2 linked regions of the Bombyx mori genome follow. The protein of the gene in region 1 binds, or shares a complex with, the protein of each later gene. Links are inferred from orthologs where the notes say so. Each region holds a gene or a part of one and is shown in the gene's direction. Other genes may lie near its edges.

Region 1 (9,582 bases):
AAAGCCCCAAAATTCACTTGAAATTAAAAAACCAATGAGTACAATGTTTGATTCACCTAAGACTTCAGTAGCTGCTGAAAAACCTTTGAACATAAATTTAAAAATAGAACATGAAAATGAGAGTAACACAGCTGTATTATCTAAATCAAAAGATCTTACGTTTGGTTCTAATGAAAGTGGAACATTCAATTTCGTTTTTAAACCAAAAACTCCAGTAAAATCCAAGAGTCCATTGAAAAATCCAAAAAGTCCTGGTGAGGACAGTGATGGAAATGATGAGTGTGTGTCAGAAGAGGAGTCGTCCCAGATACAATTTACACCTGTTATTCCCTTGCCTGATGAGGTAAGTCATATTTTAATTTTACAAAAAAAATTCATAAAATTTGAAGTCGTCGTAGCTTAAAGGATAAGGACGACCGGTGCATTCGTATTGAGCGATGCACGGGTGTTCGAATCCCAGGCGGGTGCTAGTTTTTCTAATGAAATACGTACTCAACAAATGTTCACGATTGACTTCCACGGTGAAGGAATAACATCGTGTAATAAAAATCAAACCCGCAAAATTATAATTTGCGTAATTACTGGTGGTAGGACCTCTTGTGAGTTCGCGTGGGTAGGTACCACCACCCTGCCTATTTCTGCCGTGAAGCGGTGATACGTTTCGGTTTGAAGGGCGGCGAAGACCTTAGAACTGATATCTCAAGGTGGGTAGGGCATTTACGTTGTAGATGTCTATGGGCTCCAGTAACCACTTAACACCATGTGGGCTGTGAGCTCGTCCACCCAATTAAGAAATAAAAAAATAAAAAAACTTGATGTGGATTAGCAGACAAAGGATAACTGTAAACCAGCATCTGATAACTGTAACCCATACACCAAATGATAGTAGATTTCAGTACCACAAGAACATTGTAATACAATTCAACATGAAATTTCTAGTTGAAGTGCATCAACGTAAGCATATGATATAAATTAGGGATAGAAACAGTAGTTATTTTTAGCTTTTATTTTTAATCACAAATTACTGTACAAAATTCTAATCTTACATTTTCCTTGACTAGTTCCATCAAAATAAGATAAATAAGTAGTAGTCATATAATATATAGTATAGTCCAAGTGTCTTATTCGTATTGAGAGTTAAAAATAAAGATTGAATAGAAAATGTTGTAAATATATACATGTTGTATTTGAAAAAAATTGCTTTGACAGGTTCAAGTTGTAACTGGGGAGGAAAATGAAACTGAACTTTATGGCCACAGAGCCAAACTATATAGATTTATGGCTGGCGAATGGAAAGAGAGAGGAATCGGAGTTGTAAAAATTTTGAAACACAAAGATACAGGCAAGTTAAGGTAAGTAATAACTTAACTGGTGTTTTATTAGAGACATATTCAAATAGACCATAATCATAATCATCATTTAATTTATTCTTTTATTTTAGAGTTGTAATGCGACGGGAGCAAGTTCTAAAAATATGTTTAAATTATGCATTAGCGCCTGAAATTACATTTACTCCCAAAGATGAAAAAACGTGGTTGTTTGCTGCTAATGATTATAGTGAGGGAGAGTTAAGCTTACAACAATTTTGCCTTCGATTTGCAAATAAAGAAACTGCTACTGAGTTCAAAGACGCAGTTGATAAAGCCAGGGATGGTAAATCTATTGAAATAATGAAAAAAGATGATAAATGTAATTCAGAAAGTATTTCTGGAAAGAGTGAACAAAATATTGATGAGGATGATGTTATTTTTGTGAGTGAAACAGTTGCCACTGTGGAAGAAAAGCAGAAAGCAAAGGATCTATTACTTCCGGAAAACTTTTACAATTACAAATGTAAAGATCCATGTCAAGGATGCCGGGGTTGCAAAGAAAATGAGTTTGTAAAAAAAACTGATTCTCCAGTGAATATTAGCAACTCAACAAATCCACTAGAACATATGACTATGGCAGCTCTTCTATCGACTCCTAGTAAAACGACTCCATCTTCATTTCAAAGTCCTACTAATTCATTGTATGGCACTCCATCTAATTTTGAAAAGACTTACGATACCTCAATTTTCCGTACTCCTCTAGGATCAATTGGCTCATTAAAATCCGATACACCTACATCAACAATAAAAAAATCTGATCTTTTAATTAGCAAAGAAAATGATTCAATACAGAAACCCTCAGTTTATTCAACATCAACTGTTGAGGAGGTTGAAGCAACAGAGATAAATTCAAAGTCTAAAGGTGTTATACTTGCTCCCCCAAAACTTACTAATGTTCCCTCAAATGAACAAAAAGCTCCAGAAAAAAGCTCCATTTTTACTAGTGGTCAAAACAAACCTATGTTTGATCAATCCAAATTTCTATTTGGTAGTGCTGCTGCTGGTACTTCTAGTAATAAATCAATTTTTTCATATTCAAGTGATAACTCACCTAAAAATCCAAAAGATGATGTGAAATCAATATTTGGTGGAGCCCAGAAAGACTTTTTATTTAGTAATGTAGCACAAAGTAAAATTTTTGGCCCAGGATCAATAGCTAGTAATCAATCGAAACCCAGTCTTTTTAGTACACAACCACAGACTGAAGAAAAAAAGAATGTGTTCGTAAATAATGACTTGCAGTGTGGGAATAATGCAACTATTAATTCTAATCAGAAAAAAACAAATGAAGACATCTCAGAAAAATCCAATGTAGCCAAAAAAGAAGAGATAAATAGTGAAGGACCCTTCAGAATTGATAATAAACTATCATTTGCTGCTTTGTCTACGGGTAGTGGTGATAATTTTCAGAGTAAGTGCTTATTACTGATTTATTAAGGATCGCCATATTAATAAAAAATAATAATATTAAATCAATTAACAGCTGTAAACAGTCAATCTCAGTGTTTAAGTTTAGTAAAAGCAAACTTAGCAAAAAAAAGGACCCAGTATGACGTATGTAATGGCAATAAGTAGGTACTAAAAGTTCATGTTTAAGTTAGCTCTATGAATCAAAATCTTGTACAATAATTATGTGTTTTAAATTGTGAAGAGCGTATGGTGAGTCCACAATGCAAGATGTCTTTTTCGGCAGCAAAGCACGCGTTAGGAGTTGAAGGTTAGGTACGACAGGCGGAATAACAATCAGTTGATGGCTCTGTCCGGGCGTAGCTGAAACAGCCTCTTAGGCTACCAGCAAATAGTTGGGGAATAAAATGTGGTCGACTACATTCGGATAAGATATTCATACTGTATTCGTATTATACAATTTAAATAAATGGAAAGTTTGAAAAGTTTTTAAATATTAAATTAGAGCAAATGCTGATATTTGTAAAACAATATATTAAGCCCCAAGCAATATATTAAAATCACATCATGTGTAATTACAAAGGTAAAAAACATCAAATTCCATTGCAGAAAAGGCCGATTTTCAATGGGAGGGTGCAGGTCAGCAACTGTTTGCTGGTGGACAGAGAATAGAGGGAGATAATTCTAAAACTGAAAGCAATGCAGTAACCGAAAAAAGTGGAGCTGCAGGTGATGAAGAATATGACCCATATTATGAACCTATTGTACCTTTACCTGAAAAAATTGTGATCACTACTGGTGAAGAGGATGAGGTAAGTACTGTTCTGCTTATGATTTTACAAGTTACTAAATTTTTCACAAATCATTTCATTAATGAACTTTCAATATGTTTTGTCTACACAACCTGTATTCAATGATTAATTTGATTTGAGTTTGTAACCCTTTGAAATACTGGCACTGAGTTGGGGGATAGTATTTAAATAACTACTTTTTTCTCCTACCTACGCCAAAAGTTCGGTTTTCCTCCCGCTGTACAGGGAAGATTGTCTAACTTTTCCTCCCACTGTAAGGAGAAGAAACTGTAACTTTACCCCCTGGGTATAACCAGGTAAATGTCAGAAGTGCTCAATAAAATAACACTATAAACTTAATCCTAAATGAGTTGTGAAATTTTAGGAAAAATTGTTTGGCGAAAGATGCAAATTATTCCGTTATAATGAATCTCAAGAATGGAAGGAACGTGGTGTAGGCGAAATAAAAATTCTGTATCATCCAGAAAGAAAAACGTACAGATTTTTATTAAGAAGAGAACAGGTAATTAATTTTAATCATCCAAACACATTGTTCAACAAGGAAAAAAACGGATTAATTACTTACCAGATTTATTTAATATGCAAGTGAGTATAGTTTCATTTCCAAAGCACATACACATAAGAGGAGTCTCCAAAATAAGAGCCAAATGTATAATTAATTATATATTTATTATTGTTTTACACCTGGACGATAATCTAGATATTTAGTAAATTTTATTAATGGCCATACCATAACAGACATTGAAGTATCAGTGGGCAGGGCACATTGCTCGTAGAACGGAGGGACGTTGGGGCCAGAAAGTTCTTGGGTGGCGACCGTGTGTGTACTTGAAGAGTTAGCGTGGGTAGGCCTCCCACAAGATGAACCGACGACCCATTCGAGGTTCGCGGGGATCCGCTGGATGCAGGCAGCGCAGATACGGTCTTTGTGGCGAGGCTTGGGGGAGGCCTATGTCCGGCAGTGGACGTCTGTGGGCTGATAAGAAGAAGAAGAAGATACCAATAAATTCTTAATCTCGTTTAAGTAAGGTTTCAATACCTTCACGCTTGCTACGATTTAAAAAAAATTGCCAGGTTCATAAAGCTGTATTGAATATGCTGTTATTTGCGGATTTGGAATTACACCCAATGAAAAATTCTGATCGAGCATGGATTTGGGCTGGGATAAATTATGCAGAAGACCCATCTGGTCAGCAGGAGACCCTAGCTGTCCGTTTTAAATCGATCGAACTGTTCAATGAGTTCGGCAATAAGGTCGCCCAATGTATACAGGTCAGTGTAAGATATTTATATTCATTTAAAATAAATGATCTAAAGGTTGGCAGAATGCTATGTTTCAAACTGAAAAAAAATACTATTTTTTAACTATAAAAATGAAATTCACAAGTAATATAAACGAGGCTATTTTTATAGCATAATATAAGATATTGTAAATTATTTTTATTATTATGAACCCCTTGGGAAGTTCCTACTGACAGGATTTTCTGAGCGATCTAACAAAACACAATTTCAAATATTTTTGTTTCGTATATTGTATTCAATGCTATGCTTAATACTGCAAAGTTATATTATCAAATATTTTCAATACTTTTATTCCTAAAACACTTTTGAAACAAAAATATAATTACTCAGACAGTGACACTATGTTTTACAGGTTCTAGTTTGCATAAACTATGTCTAAATGGTAATTTTCTTATTACAGAAGCTGCAAGATGAAACAGCTGCTAAGCCTATTGAAGTGAAAAAATCTCAAGAAACAAATGAGGCCAGTTTCACCAATCCCATGCGGTTGCCGAAACATTTGCAAGACAGTGCACGAGCAGACTACGCGATGACGGCAAAAGTGGAACAGCAAACTCAGAGAGACGAAGTCGTGGACCCGAAACCAGAAGCTGTGTTCCAAGTCAGACCATCACCGTCCAAAGAAAATTTTCAACAAGTACAGTTCCAAGAAATGCGCCAATCAAAGGAATATGACGTTGATGAAGAATATGACGACGATAATGGCGAAGATAATTATGATGAGTATGATCCCGACTATGAGCACAATGAATACGACCATGAATACAATGAAGATGTAAGTGTTAAAATTAGCGTATCCTAACATTCAAAATGGATGCGACTTTTGAATATTTTGATTTTTTTTATATTATATTTAATATAACCATGAAAAAAATGCCACCTATGATGTCTTATATTCAGCGATGGGTAAAAATTGAAGGGCTTAAATGAGTTGGTTATTCATTTTAATTAATGCGAATATATTTGATGATTTCATGTTGCATTGTCGGAATTTTTTGAAGTCGAGGTTCACAATTTTATAATTTGAACTTTTAAATTACTATTTTTATGCTATAAGGCAGATGAGACCTATTTTAAAATAATTTTTCTTTAATTATTGATCTGGAAATTGTAATATATTATAGAAAACCAAAGCAAAGTACAAAACTGCATATAAATTTGTAGAAAGAAAATTAATTGAAGTAGAAGTTTGTTTATCAAGGGTGAAAGACCTCGATGCTTGCCTGAAATTTGAATGTCAAACATCCAATGTAACCGTCATCACATTATTTTAATACCTGTATCATCATAATACAGCTCAGATTAGACCTTTTATCTCAAAGTGGCTATGAGCACCCTTCCACCTTGCCTGCATTTTGGAAACACTTAACATCTGGGGTCGGGCGCAAAACAAAAAAATTTGAAATAATGGCGACCACACCTACTGTTCCAAATAAAACCCAAGATGCACAGCAAAAACAAGGTTTTTATTCCGACCGTGTATAATAAATACACTCTAACAAAAGATTTATTCCCAAGCGGAGACCAGAAATTAAAAATACAAGAATTTAAAACTACCGTTTTATTTATTTACATACACACAATAAACATTAAATGTCCATTTATCGATGATTTCAATTTTAATTCAATATGTAGGAAGAGGAAGAATCTGGTGAATATTATTCGTGTGATGGAGAAGCAGTTATCAAGCAAGGCAGTTCAGAAACGACATGTGAGAACGCTCGCATCATCGTGATATTTGATCAGGATGTTTGCTCACCTAAAATTCTGATCACTGACAGTGGAACTGGAGAAATCCTTGCCGATATGCTTATAAGCACAGATACTGAATTTGAGGTACGTATTTTTAATAATTATATATAATTTTTCGTTATTTCGTAGCAAGCGGTGTTGCTGGCAGTGCTTTAAAAAATATATTTTACCAACATGTTTTGCGCTACAGGTTATAATATCGCTATTAACACTGCTTTCGGCGACACCATAGTGGTGTCGTGAGATGGCTGTTTCAGTAGTTTGCTTGCTAATAATAATAGTTTAAATTGTTCGAAATCGGAAAACTAAATTTAATATATAATAATAACATAATTTCCACTAAAATTATGTTATTATTTGCGTTACTTAAAATACTTTTAAATAATATGTTCACTTTGTTATAATTAAATCACGATAAGTGATGTATTTAAAACTCATTACCTTTAAAACATTTTAAATTAATTCTCCATATTCCATTTAGATTTCTAGTGATACTACGTGCAAATGGTCAGGAACGGACTTTACGAGCAATGATCCCGTTGAAAAGTCTGTAACAGTTAACTTCCCCGATAGTGAAGTCGCAGCACAGTTCCATGAAAGTTGTGAGGTAAGAAAACGTAAAAAAAAGTTCGCATACAACAGTTGTACATTTCATGTCTCTCTATAAAATATATAAGTTTCACATGTGTAATGGTTTTTTATTTATTTCAGACTTTATGTAAAGGTGCATCGCTGTACAGATCAGATCCAGAATCGTAGGAATATTTCAAAGTATTTTAATATAGTTTTATAATTTGTGTTTAAGAAGTAGGTTTTGTGCCACCTTGGTATTTGAACAAAGTTATCATCAATATTTTCACATATTTTATTAATGTAATTTTTAATTTAAAAACAACAAGTAAAATGCGAGTTTTTTTAATATATGGTACATTACCACCACCACCACCACCACCACTACCACTTATGAAACTATCACTAATGCATATAATTATAATGTTTAGTGTGATTTTACAAAAATCAATAGCACGCTGTCTGTGAGATATTTCATAGTAAGTATAGTACTTAAAATATTTTGTCTTACTATTTACTAAATCATTTTGTTTTCAATACATTTATAATTATCTTGTAATAAATATGTGTTATAACTTATCACAAGGAGATCTAACCAACACTTGTTACTTATTTATTAAAAAGATAAAAAAGTAGTAAATTATTTTTGTATTTTATGTCGTTCCTAGTTGGTTAGGTCTTCTTGTATTCCTTTCTTGTATTAAGTTAATATGTAGAGCTGTAAACCTATAAGTTTCATAGTAACTTCACAGTTCAATGATTCAGTCAAATAAAAAGACTACAGAAGAGGACATAACTCCGAGTAAAATTGACATTATTGAAGTATAAAAATGTATGTTGTTAAATAAATCAAATATCGTCGTGTTTCCCTGTATTACGTGGATTATAAAATAATTGATATTATAGAAATGAGAAAAGGATTGAATTTCAAATTATGACATTAAACAGTAAATAAATGCATATAGGACGAAAAAAATAATCTTGTTCTCATTTTGGAATCTGATGTGGAATGTATTGTGGAATGTGAAGAACTTACTTATAACGTAATAAAGATGTTGAAATAGGAAATTGTCTGTTATTTTATTCTGTAGTAGACAGATCTGAACGCACTATAATGATGAGTAGCTACTAAACAATGACTTATTTTGGAAAAAGTGGTGCAAAGGGTTTTCCTGCTGTATCTTTTTTTTTCCTACCTAAGCTGATAGTCTTGAGAGGCTATTTCAGCGTAACCTTAACAAGTAGGTAAGCTCCCGGGGCTCGAACCGGAGTGATGCTAACACTGATCCTAGTAAGAGTGGTGCTTCGCAGAATCTACCACAGGATCGGAAACGCGACCCACTGAGAAGATCTGGCGAGAAACTCAGTAGGCTGTGTCTATGGGTTAATTCGCTCGTCGAGCCCTTCGTCGCAAGCGACGGGTTCGACGAGAACGGTGACCGGTGCTTGTGGTACCCAAAAGCACCGTTAATGGTTTGGGAAGATCCGTAATGACGTGTTTTGGGCGACGTAGACTGTTTACCATTCGGTCTACAGGATTGGGTATGTAGTTTCCAGTGGCCACGACGAGAGGGTTCTCATGTTGTGCCTCCTTTTCAAAGTGGCGCAATGATGCTAACTGTATATACTTACTGACCGAGTCAAGTTCCAGGCCATCATGGAGATCCACGTTCTTCAGGAACCATGGTGCTTCGACGGCTATCCTGCAAAATCGGGATTGAATAACCTGAAGGGGTTTCAAGATAGTGCGGGCCGCGTGAGCGAACACTACGCTTGCATACGTTATGACGGGGCGTATGCAAGTTTTGTAGAGAGTTCTCTTTTCGGAGGGACAGTTTGCTTCCCTTGCAAAGCATAGGGTAGAGACGTCCTAATATGAAGGCGGCACGGTCGCGTACCGTTTTGATATGGGGACGGAATGTCATCCCTCTGTCGAGGGTGACGCCTAGGTATTTGACCTTCGAGGCCCACGGTATGGGCTGGCCAAAGAGAGTGATGGGGCTAACGGCAGAGGTGTTAACGCGCCTATTAGGGAGTGGGATGCTCGAAGTGGTGTTCGGAAGGCGACCCCTTTTGAAGAGCACCGCTGTGCTTTTCGTGGGGTTGATGCCAATGCGCCACTTCTTCCTACACGAGTAGTAGATAGCCGTGTCATCGGCGAAGAGCGCTAGATGGGTCTCCGGAGAGCGGGTCATACTATCATTGATATACATCATATTACCATTGACATATAAACTAAATAATAACGGGGAGAGCGCGGAGCCTTGCGAGACTCTGGCCGTCAGATGATGGTGCGAGAGCGAGTTCCCTCTACTCGATATCGAAACGAAGGGTTCGACAAGAAGTCTTGTATGATGAGCACGAGTCTG
Region 2 (10,126 bases), about 5.0 Mb from region 1:
AATGATTAAATTGATTTCTGTTTCATTGTTCACATTTTGCAAATTGCAGGTATTCATGGCAGTCATTCCAATTTTTTAGTTTAAATTGTTTAATAACACTTTCGTACTTTAATTCCAGCGACATTTTCATTTGGTGGAACAAGTACTGCTACAACCACCAGTACTGGGTTTAATTTTGGTACTACGACAACCTCATCGGGCTTTGGCTCCTTTGGGACCAGTAGTGGTAATACTTGGCTTGACTAAGAATATAATTAATTTAAAAAAATATATTTCTGCACTATTATTACAACTACCATTACACATTTCAATTACCAAAAACTATAAAAGAAAATCAGACAAGAGCTATTTTTATATTGACACATTCAATTTTGGTGATTTAATAATGGTGGTGTGAATAGAAAGTTTACCATTTTAAGACTTTACTATTTTTAAAATGAGTTCCGGTTACTACTTTTATTGGCTCCGGTTATCACTTAACACCAGGTGAGCCGTGAGCTTGTCCACCCATATAACCTATATAAAAATGTAGATTCTTTCAAACTATTCTTAGTTAAAAAAGTTTCTTAGACCTAATGATTGAAAACTGTATAAATACACAGTTGTTTATAGTTCAATTAAAGTATACAACTAGTGACCCGCCCTCGCTTCGCTTCGGAAACATTAAAACACACATGAAACAAAAAAAAAAAAAAAAAATTTAAAAAAAAGTAGCCTATGTTCATCAGGGACAATGTCGGCTTCTAATGGAAAAAGAATTTTTCAAATCGGTCCAGTAGTTTCGGAGCCTATTCGAAACAAACAAACAAACAAATCTTTCCTCTTTATAATATTAGTATAGATATATCAATTTACTAGGAAAAAATACGAGTCATTTCCAATTTGTACGAAAAATGTTTAATGTAACATACTCCAAAACAATCATAATTAAATATGACAATTACTAAACATCCGATCAAAGTAGAATGTGGTTTTTGCTCTCGAACTTTACATGCACATGTGGTATGGATATCTTAATTTTATCGCACTTTTAATGTATATTTTATTTCAGCGTATAAATTGTGAATAATAATTTTTTCAGTCTAATTTTATGGAGTTTCTATAGCTCAAATAACACATGAATGATATAGAAGACACATAATTTAAAAACAATATGCGCAGATAGTCAAGGCTACAAAAGCTAACTGTTTAGCATTAAGCTAAATCGATTTGCTCGAGAACAATATGCCACTGCATAATATTCACTGATATCAATTAGTGTAGTAATAATGTAATATCTAATGTTTCAGCAACACCTTTTGGTGGTTTGGGTAACACTGCTACTACAACAACTACTAATTCATTGTTCGGAGGGACTGGATTTGGAGCTGCCAAACCTGCCACTGGTAATATTGATTAAATTTTACTTACATTTTTACTTTACGTTTTCAAATTTCCAATTTACCTTTGATTGATCAGATGTATTATGCGAGTAGTGTTTTTGATGCATACATTCATGTATTACAAAGTAATCACTGATACCTAAAGATTTCATTTTAATTATTAAATTTTCTCTTTAGTTTTGTATTTTGATATTTGAAATATTGAAAAAGATATAATTCCAAATTAATTACTATTAATAATTGACAAAATTATTTACACAATTGTTAAAGGTTTTGGAACAACTGGCTTTGGGACGAACACATTTGGGACTGGTTTATTTGGAACTGGATCCAATACATTTGCGAGTGCAGCACCAACATTTGGTACAAACACTCTAGGTTCCAGCAATCTGAATACAGGAGCTTTCGGTACCGGAACTTTTGGCAGTGGATTTGGTACAAAACCGTCAACTGGTTTCGGTGGATTTGGTCTTGGCACTAATCAATTTGGACAACAACAGGTGTGTTTGATTCAATTACCATACAAGAAGTGAACTAGAAAAACATATATTTTTATGAAATACGTATTAATATTCAGTAGGGCTTGTATATCAGTGAAACTTTTTTTAAATAGATTTTAGTTTTCGACAGTCACACGGCAAACGATGAAACCTCGTAATTTCGCTCTGTAACTCAGACCTTTTTTACTCTGAAGTCATTCTGCAGTAACAAATGGGCGACCGAAATTGCAATAGTCAATATATTAGGGGTAACGCATATAACAGAGCTATGAAAAATAATTGAATGTATCAGCACATGTTTGTACCATGTAGAAGCGTTTTTATTACAAAACGTTAACCTTTGTTGATACAAGCCCAAAACACGTCATTACGGATCCTCCCGATCTATTAACGGTGCTTTCAGTATCAAGCACCGGTCACCGTCCTCGTCGAAACCGTCGCTTGCGACGAAGGGCTCGACGAGCGAATTGACCCAGCCCACTGAGTTTCTCGCCGGATCTTCTCAGTGGGTTGCGTTTCCGATCCGGTGGTAGATTCTGCGAAGCACTGCTCTTGCTAGAGCCAGTGTTAGCAACACTCCGGTTTGAACCCCGTGAGCTCACCTACACATTAGAGTGAAGCTGAAATAGCCTCTCAAGGTTCAGCATAGGTAGGAAAAAAAAGTTTTTTTTTTATTGCTTAGATGGATGGACGATCTCACAGCCCACCTGGTGTTAAGTGGTTACTGGAGCCCATAGACATCTACAACGTAAATGCGCCACCCACCTCGAGATATAAGTTCTAAGATCTCAGTATATGTAGTTACAACAGCTACCCCACCCTTCGAACCGAAACGCATTACTGCTTCACGACGGAAATAGGCGGGGTGGAGGTACCTACCCGTGCGGACTCCCAAGAGGTCCTACCACCAGTGATTACGCAAATTATAATTTTGCGGGTTTGATTTTTATTACACGATGTTATTCCTTCACCGTGGAAGTCAATCGTGAACATTTGTTGAGTACGTATTTCATTAGAAAAATTGTTACCCGCCTGCGGGACTCGGAACACCGGTGCATCGCTACATACAAATGCACCGGACGTCTTATCCTTTAGGCCACAACGACTTCAAATATATTATATCATCATTACACTAAAAACAAGTCCTTTTTATAAATAATTCAAATGTTTTTTTTAAAAATCAATTACAATTGAATTACACTGCTTCTTAGGTTTTCGCCAATTTGACGTGACTAAACTAAGCCTTGATGAATATGTATTTGCGAAAGCTTTCATTCCATAGCGAACCTAACGAGTCCTAATTTAGAGATTATAATCGTAACAGCAACAACAACTACAACAGCAGCAACAGCAACAGCAAGCGCCAGCGACAGCCCACGAGGCGTTAGTCGCGGCCGTGTTCAACTGCTGTGTGTTCGGCGACGAAAGGGATCAAGTTTTAGCGAAGTGGAATTTGATTCAAGCTCAATGGGGTACAGGTATGCGTGACCAGTATAAACTTGACACTCGATGCTGATTAATAAAAATAAAATAACTACAATAAACTTATCGAGGGGTGAAAGGCTATTTGATTTAAGCGACGTTACGCTTAATACGCGACAGTTATATTTGTAATTAAAGGTGCGTTTTATTTTGGTACTAGGGACCCGCCCTCGCTTCGCTTCGGAAACATTAAATTTTATTATTGATAGTTGAGTACACGCGGTTATTGTCGTAACGCGGGTGACGCCGCGGGGCGAAGCTAGTCTAAAAAAAGTAGCCTAAGTTACTCCTTATATCATCAGCTACCTATCAGTGAAAATCTCGTCAAAATCAGTCTAGCCGTTCCAGAGATTAGCCGGAACAAACAGACAGACAGACAGACAAAAACTGTAAAAAATGTATATTGGTGTATGTATCATATATATATATATATATATGCATGTAGTTAAAAGAGGCTATTTCAATATTACAAACAAACACTCCAATTTTATTTATATGTATAGATTAACATCAACAGTTCGATGTTTAATTTAACCTCAATTAAGTTTACTCATTGAAATAGCCGAATAAGTTTTTTTATTATGATATTTCTCCAAATTTTAAACGTTAAATGGCTCTTCTGTAAAGTTGCAAAAATGTCGCTTAAACAAAATAACCTTTGACCCTTCGATGTCGTGTATGGTGACATTTGACTACATACAAAGAAGGGCCGTTCGGATTATTGATAATCCCATTCTCACGGGTCGTATGTAACCTCTGCGGAGAGACCTTAGTTCCCTCTGTATTTTGTACCGTATGTTCCATGGGGAGCACTCCGAGGAATTATTTGAGATGATCCCATCATCTTGTTTTTACAATCGCAGGCGAAAGATGAAATTAGAATTTATTGATGAACTTATAATGAAAAGTTGCTCAGAATTTCTATAAACTCGTAATATCATAGTTACATAAGATCATCGCCGCCATACTAGTTAATGCTAGACGCAGTAATTCCAGTAATGAGTTTGCTTGGTAGTAAAAAGGGCATTATGGAATCTATATATTAATACGTGAAGCAAAAACTTTGTATCCCTTTTTACGAAAATTGCGCGGACGGAGGACTATGAAATTTTCCACACTTATAGAGAATATAGAGAAGAAGTGCACATTGCTAATTTTTTTTTTAAATAATGCATAAAAGATACATTAAATCAATAAAGCAAACATTACACACACTACATACCATGTATTTGACGCACACACGCATGCATACTATTTATTGTCAATCTTTTGTTCTTGACGTCTGTTGTCAAATTGAGATTAAAATTTTGTTTTTCTTTGTTAATATTTTTTTATAGTGTAGTCTTGGCGAATTTTGTGATTATAGAAGTATAAAATACAATCATAATAGTGTACAAACTTACAATTCCAATTAATTATAGTCGAATTTCGACTACTGCGGGACTTCTAGTTATAACAAAATTCCTTTGGCAGTTCCTGTGGTACGTAAGATTCGAACACAGAGCAGCAAGGTTTCTCCATTTACTTAAAAATTTTCTCTTGCACATTGTTATTTGAACTATAAATTCTATAGATATTATATTATTACTATAGACTATAATTTTTTTTTTTTTTAATTACATTAATTTGTTAAATATTGAATATTTAGATTTAAATTCAGAAACAGATTCAAACAGTCAACTTTTATAATGTATGTATGTAAGTATGATTTTTTTCTCGTTTAGGTCAAGCGTACTATAGTCGAAACCATCCGCCTTTGACGTTGACAGAGCAAAATCCGCTCTGTCGTTTTAAAGCAGTTGGCTACTCAAAGCTCTGTGAGAAGGAAGATAAGGATGGACATGTTGCTATGATTTTTAACAAAAGCGAACAAGAAATTAAGTAAGAACTTTATTTTATTTCTGTTTAAGACAACCAGTGTTTTCGGAAATATACTATAAGTATTAAAGTTGTTCTTACGATTGCAAAATTATATTTTTCTTTCTTTTCATTTGGGATCATAAAAACTGATGACATGAAAACTACATGAAATAAAATTATTTTGCATCTAACTTAGATTTTGATGTGACATAATAGATTTACATACAGCCGCGGCAAATTTATTCATTCATTCAAAACTCGCATTAACAAAACCAGTTATTAAGCAACTTTTAGTAAATTTTTTGTTACTCATGTTTGTGGATGAGCTTATCTGGCCCACCTGGTGTAACGTAGTTACCGGATCCCATAGACACACAACATAAATGCCGTCACCCACATTGAGACATGAGTCTCAGGCTTACAGTACAACTACTGCTCATCATCATTCGAACTGAAACGCATTACTGCTTTGCAGCCGAAATAGGCAGGGTGGTAGTACCGGCCAGTGCGATCTCACAAAACGCCCTACAAACCAATAAAGTACTCTTAAACATTATTTTAAAATGTGTCTTCTGATTCTCTAATCTAAATTTTATTTCAGGAATAACCAACAAGGTTTAATTACATCACTACAAGGCTTACTAGGGAACAAACCGAACTTAGCTGTCAATGTTGATTCTGTCAAAGCCGTGGCAGATGACAAAAGTCAGGTATGTAAAAGTTGTACCATATTCGTGGTCTGACGGGACATCGCCTACAATATGCAGTTGAGTAGGCTGAGATTGTATGGTCACGTTAAAAAGAGGACACCAGACTACGTCCGAAATTTGGTACTCCAGCTCAAGGTGGAAAGATGTAGTGTTGCAGGACAAGAGGGATTTTTTTATTTTTTTATTGCTTAAATGAATTGACGAGCTCACAGCCCACCTGGTGTTAAGTGGTTACTGGAGCCCATAGACATCTACAACGTAAATGCGCCACCCACCTTGAGATATAAGCTCTAAGATCTTAGTATAAATACAACGGCTGCCCCATCCTTCAAACCGAAACGCATTACTGCTTCGCGGCAGAAATAGGCAGGGTGGTGGTACCTACCCGCGCGGACTCACAAGAGGTCCTACCACCAGTAAGAATGCAATGTTACTGACAAAGATGTGGCAATCAAAACGAAAATGAGGAGAAAAATAGGGAAAGCTGACCCCACCGCTGTGTCGGATAAATAACTAGAAAAAGACAGAGTTTATTGTCAAATTTAAATAAACTGCGATATAAATCTATATATATAAAAATGAATTGCTGTTCGTTAGTCTCGCTAAAACTCGAGAACGGCTAGACCGATTTGGCTAATTTTGGTCTTGAATTACTTGTGGAAGTCCAGAGAAGGTTTAAAAGGTATATAAATATGAAAATGCTCGGAATTAAATAAAAATACATTTTTGTTTTTCCTTTGATGTGTCCCCCGTCGGACGGATTCCTTTTGTTTGTTTTAAGTTTATTTTATACAAAAGTTTAGGTCCTTTATTTATCGATTGAGGCACTACGAAGTCTGCGGGGTTAGTTAGTACGAAATAAAATTTGCCCCGATTTATTTTATATAACGTAGACAAAGATCTGGATTGAAATTATGTTAAATAATTACTCTAGGTGGTAATATACGTGGTGGATAAGGCCGCGAACAATTCTCACGTTTCTGCGTCAGAGCTAGCGAATTTCTTAAACGCCGGCAACGCTAAGAACGCCCTGAGCAGCGCCGGCTGTTCTGCCGTGAGCGCCGTCACCGCACCGACGCCGCAGATGCTGCAGCAGTACCTTCAAACTCCTCCACCAGGTATCATAAAGAAGCCATACACCTCAACACGCCGCCTTCGTCACCTCAGACTATAAGAATATTGAGCAAAAGGGAATGCTCTGAGGAATTGTTTGAGATGATTCCCCCATCTACTTTTTATCACCGCACCTTCCCGCCATCGGAGCAGAGTTCATCAATATTATCTGGAACCGCTGCGTTCATCGACAGTGCGTTTCCAGAGGTATTTTTTGCCACGTACCATCCGGCTATGGAATAAGCTCTCCTCCACGGTGTTTCCCGAGCGCTATGACATATCCTTGTTCAAACGAGGCTTGTGGAGAGTATTAAGCGGTAGGCAGCGGCTTGGCTCTGCCCCTGGCATTGCTGAAGTCCATGGGCAACGGTAACCACTCACCATCAGGTGGGCCGTATGCTCGTCTGCCAATAAGTGTAATAAAAAAAAACTCAAGTATGCCACCTTCGTCACCTTAGACTATAAGAATATTGAGCAAACCCCACTCTCTGCACTAAAGTCTCCATTCAAAGACTCCAAATAATTTCTACTGCTAAGCAAAAGTTTCCATTTGAATGAAAGGATAGACTGTATTTGAATGCAATTGAGACCTCGACCTCATGTCTCAAACAGCACTAATTGAAATTAATTATTGACAATAGTTGGTTTCAACTCAGCATAGTGACAGGGCAATGCATTACACAGAGTTTTGCGTACCACAGTAATGATAACAATAAAATCGCTGAAGTTCTTAGAGTACATAATTGAATGAAGGGTCTCATTTAAGTATGTTGTTCTTAACATATTTCTTGGAATCTTTAATTGCTCTCGCAGCTACTCTTGCGTCGTTTTGAAGTCCTCATATGTAATGTATGTTTCAATGTGAATTAGCACGATTTTTACATTTTGTGAACTTCGTCAATGAAACTAAACAAATGTTTCTTTTTTATAACCATTCAAGTTTTTTTTTTTTTTTAATGAATTTAATTTAATTTCGTTAATATTACTAGCTATTAAATTAATTTCGTACAAAATAATCAATTTCCTTATTTTCACTATAGGCATGGATATAAGATTATGGAAACAAGCTCAAGCCGACAAACCGGACTCTGCTAATTACATTCCAGTGCCAATTATTGGATTCTCAGAGGTAGGTCAACACAAACTATAACATCTAAAACAGATTTATATAATATACATAAATATGATAAAACTATATCCATCAACGGGATATTCTGTAAAATCTTACAAGCATAAACAAAGTGTAATTATATTTACTGTTAAGCCATTAGTAATATTTATTGTGGGAATATTTTAGTATTGTACGTATTATGTTTAATCGAAGCAGCCTCAGTAGTCTGTTAAACATATCGGTCCTATGGAGCGGCCGTATCGGTACTTTCAATGAACCTGTTACAATTGTACCTATTCCATTGACCTACACGACGACCTGGGCCTCTAATCAAGCCGGAAACACATGAAGTCAGCATCGGAACGGTACTTCGATAAAGCTATGTGTCATGATAATCGCCTTATCGTTGCCGCCCTAGACACGTCTTTACGCAAACTCATAACCATTGCATTAGACGCCTTTAGCTCTAACGCTAGGAGCAGGCTCAGGGACTCCGGTAACCGTACTCGTCGAACTCTGCAATGAGTTCAACGTACAACCTAATCTAACCTAAACATCAGCCGGCTGAGTTTCTCGCCGGATCTCATCAGCGGGTCACGATTCCGATCTGGTAGTAGATATATTCGCGAAGCAGTAATTCTTGAGTTGTTAGGTCTCCTTTGGAGGCGCTCGGGTAGCTGTTAGCAAAATCCCACCCTTCCCCGCTGAGCCCTTGCTTCTCCCACCTGTCCCGGTGAAACTGGAAAGGCTTCCGGGCCGCCAGTGATCACCCAAACATAAAAAAAACGTATTCCATTTTGCCCACACACTTACAAGAGGGGGCTAAGGTGATTTTTGCAAACGGGGCCTATATGGATTAGAGACGATTTCGAGTGATTTCGTTATTGTAGATCAGGGGTTCCCAAACTTATTTTGTCTACTGCTTACTTTGAGAATAAATTATATATAGCGCCCCTATTTTTTCACGTACTTAAAAATCACTATAGCCAGAGCTCAGTCGGTGTCTAAGAGTGCTCCTAGATAAAATTACAAATCGCCTCCCAAGCCTCTACACACCGCCCCCATTTTTTTTCTGGGTCTCTTACCGCCCCCCTTTAGGCCTGCAGCGCCCACAAGGGGGCGTTATCGCCCACTTTGGGAAAGTCTTTACTGCTGGTAGGACCTCTTGTGAGTCCACACGTATAGGTACCACCCAGCCTATTTCTGCCGTGAAGCAGCAATGCGTTTCGGTTTGAAGGGTGGGGCAGCCGTTGTAACTATACTGAGACCTTAGAACTTATATCTCAAGGTGGGTGGCGCGTTTATGCTGTAGATGTCTATGGGCTCCAGTAAGTACTTAACACCAGGTGGGCTGTGAGCTCGTCCACCCATCTAAGCGATAAAAAAATAAAAATAAAAAAGTGCTGTAGTTGAATATTGATGTGCTTAGATAAAGTTCCGAGCGCAGTGCCAGGCGGAGCAGGGCCGGCTGCAGGCGAGCTGGCTGCGTCGCGCGGAGGACACGCTGTGCGAGCTGCGCACGCGCCGCGCCGCCGCCGCCGCCCGCCTGGCGCGCCTCTCCGCCGCTCTGCACGCGCTGCGACATACGCTCCTGCAGGTACTATACTGGGTGTTGGGAGACCGCTTCCGAAAACGAAAACAGACGATAGTACTAAAGACATCAGATGTTTTTTTTTATTGTCCTTGTAGGCAGACGAGCATACGGCCCGCCTGATGGTGAGTAGTTACCGTCGCCCATGGACTTCAGGCAATGCCAGGGGCAGAGCCAAGCCGCTGCCTACCGCTTAATACTGTCCACAAGCCTCTTTTGAAGAAGGACATGTCATAGCGATCGGGAAACACCGTGGAGGGCAGCTCATTCCATAGCCGGATGGTGTGTGGCAAAAAAGACCTCTGAAAACGCATTGTCGATGAACGCAGCGGTTCCAGATAATATGAATGAACTCTGCTCTGATGGCGGGAGGTGCG

What was found.
Region 2: E3 SUMO-protein ligase RanBP2 (region 1) and probable nucleoporin Nup54 share a complex: the UniProt entries of both Drosophila melanogaster proteins name them as parts of the nuclear pore complex. The link is inferred for Bombyx mori from reciprocal best matches to the Drosophila melanogaster genes Nup358 and Nup54.

Annotation. Positions count from the first base shown.
Region 1 is NC_085121.1:11,021,061-11,030,642, forward strand, and holds the end of E3 SUMO-protein ligase RanBP2, read left to right. Parts: coding exon 1-343; intron 344-1,209; coding exon 1,210-1,352; intron 1,353-1,441; coding exon 1,442-2,781; intron 2,782-3,386; coding exon 3,387-3,589; intron 3,590-3,953; coding exon 3,954-4,091; intron 4,092-4,239; exon of another isoform or gene 4,240-4,565; intron 4,566-4,663; coding exon 4,664-4,861; intron 4,862-5,291; coding exon 5,292-5,666; intron 5,667-6,526; coding exon 6,527-6,727; intron 6,728-7,124; coding exon 7,125-7,250; intron 7,251-7,354; coding exon 7,355-7,402; 3' UTR 7,403-8,281; downstream 8,282-9,582. UniProt on the Drosophila melanogaster protein: E3 SUMO-protein ligase. Component of the nuclear pore complex (NPC), a complex required for trafficking across the nuclear envelope.
Region 2 is NC_085121.1:5,994,967-6,005,092, forward strand, and holds part of probable nucleoporin Nup54, read left to right. Parts: intron 1-118; coding exon 119-226; intron 227-1,289; coding exon 1,290-1,385; intron 1,386-1,652; coding exon 1,653-1,882; intron 1,883-3,206; coding exon 3,207-3,360; intron 3,361-5,088; coding exon 5,089-5,245; intron 5,246-5,825; coding exon 5,826-5,934; intron 5,935-6,868; coding exon 6,869-7,052; intron 7,053-8,087; coding exon 8,088-8,176; intron 8,177-9,587; coding exon 9,588-9,755; intron 9,756-10,126. UniProt on the Drosophila melanogaster protein: Component of the nuclear pore complex (NPC), a complex required for the trafficking across the nuclear envelope. Essential for the nuclear import of nuclear localization signal (NLS)-containing proteins in an importin alpha/importin beta-dependent manner.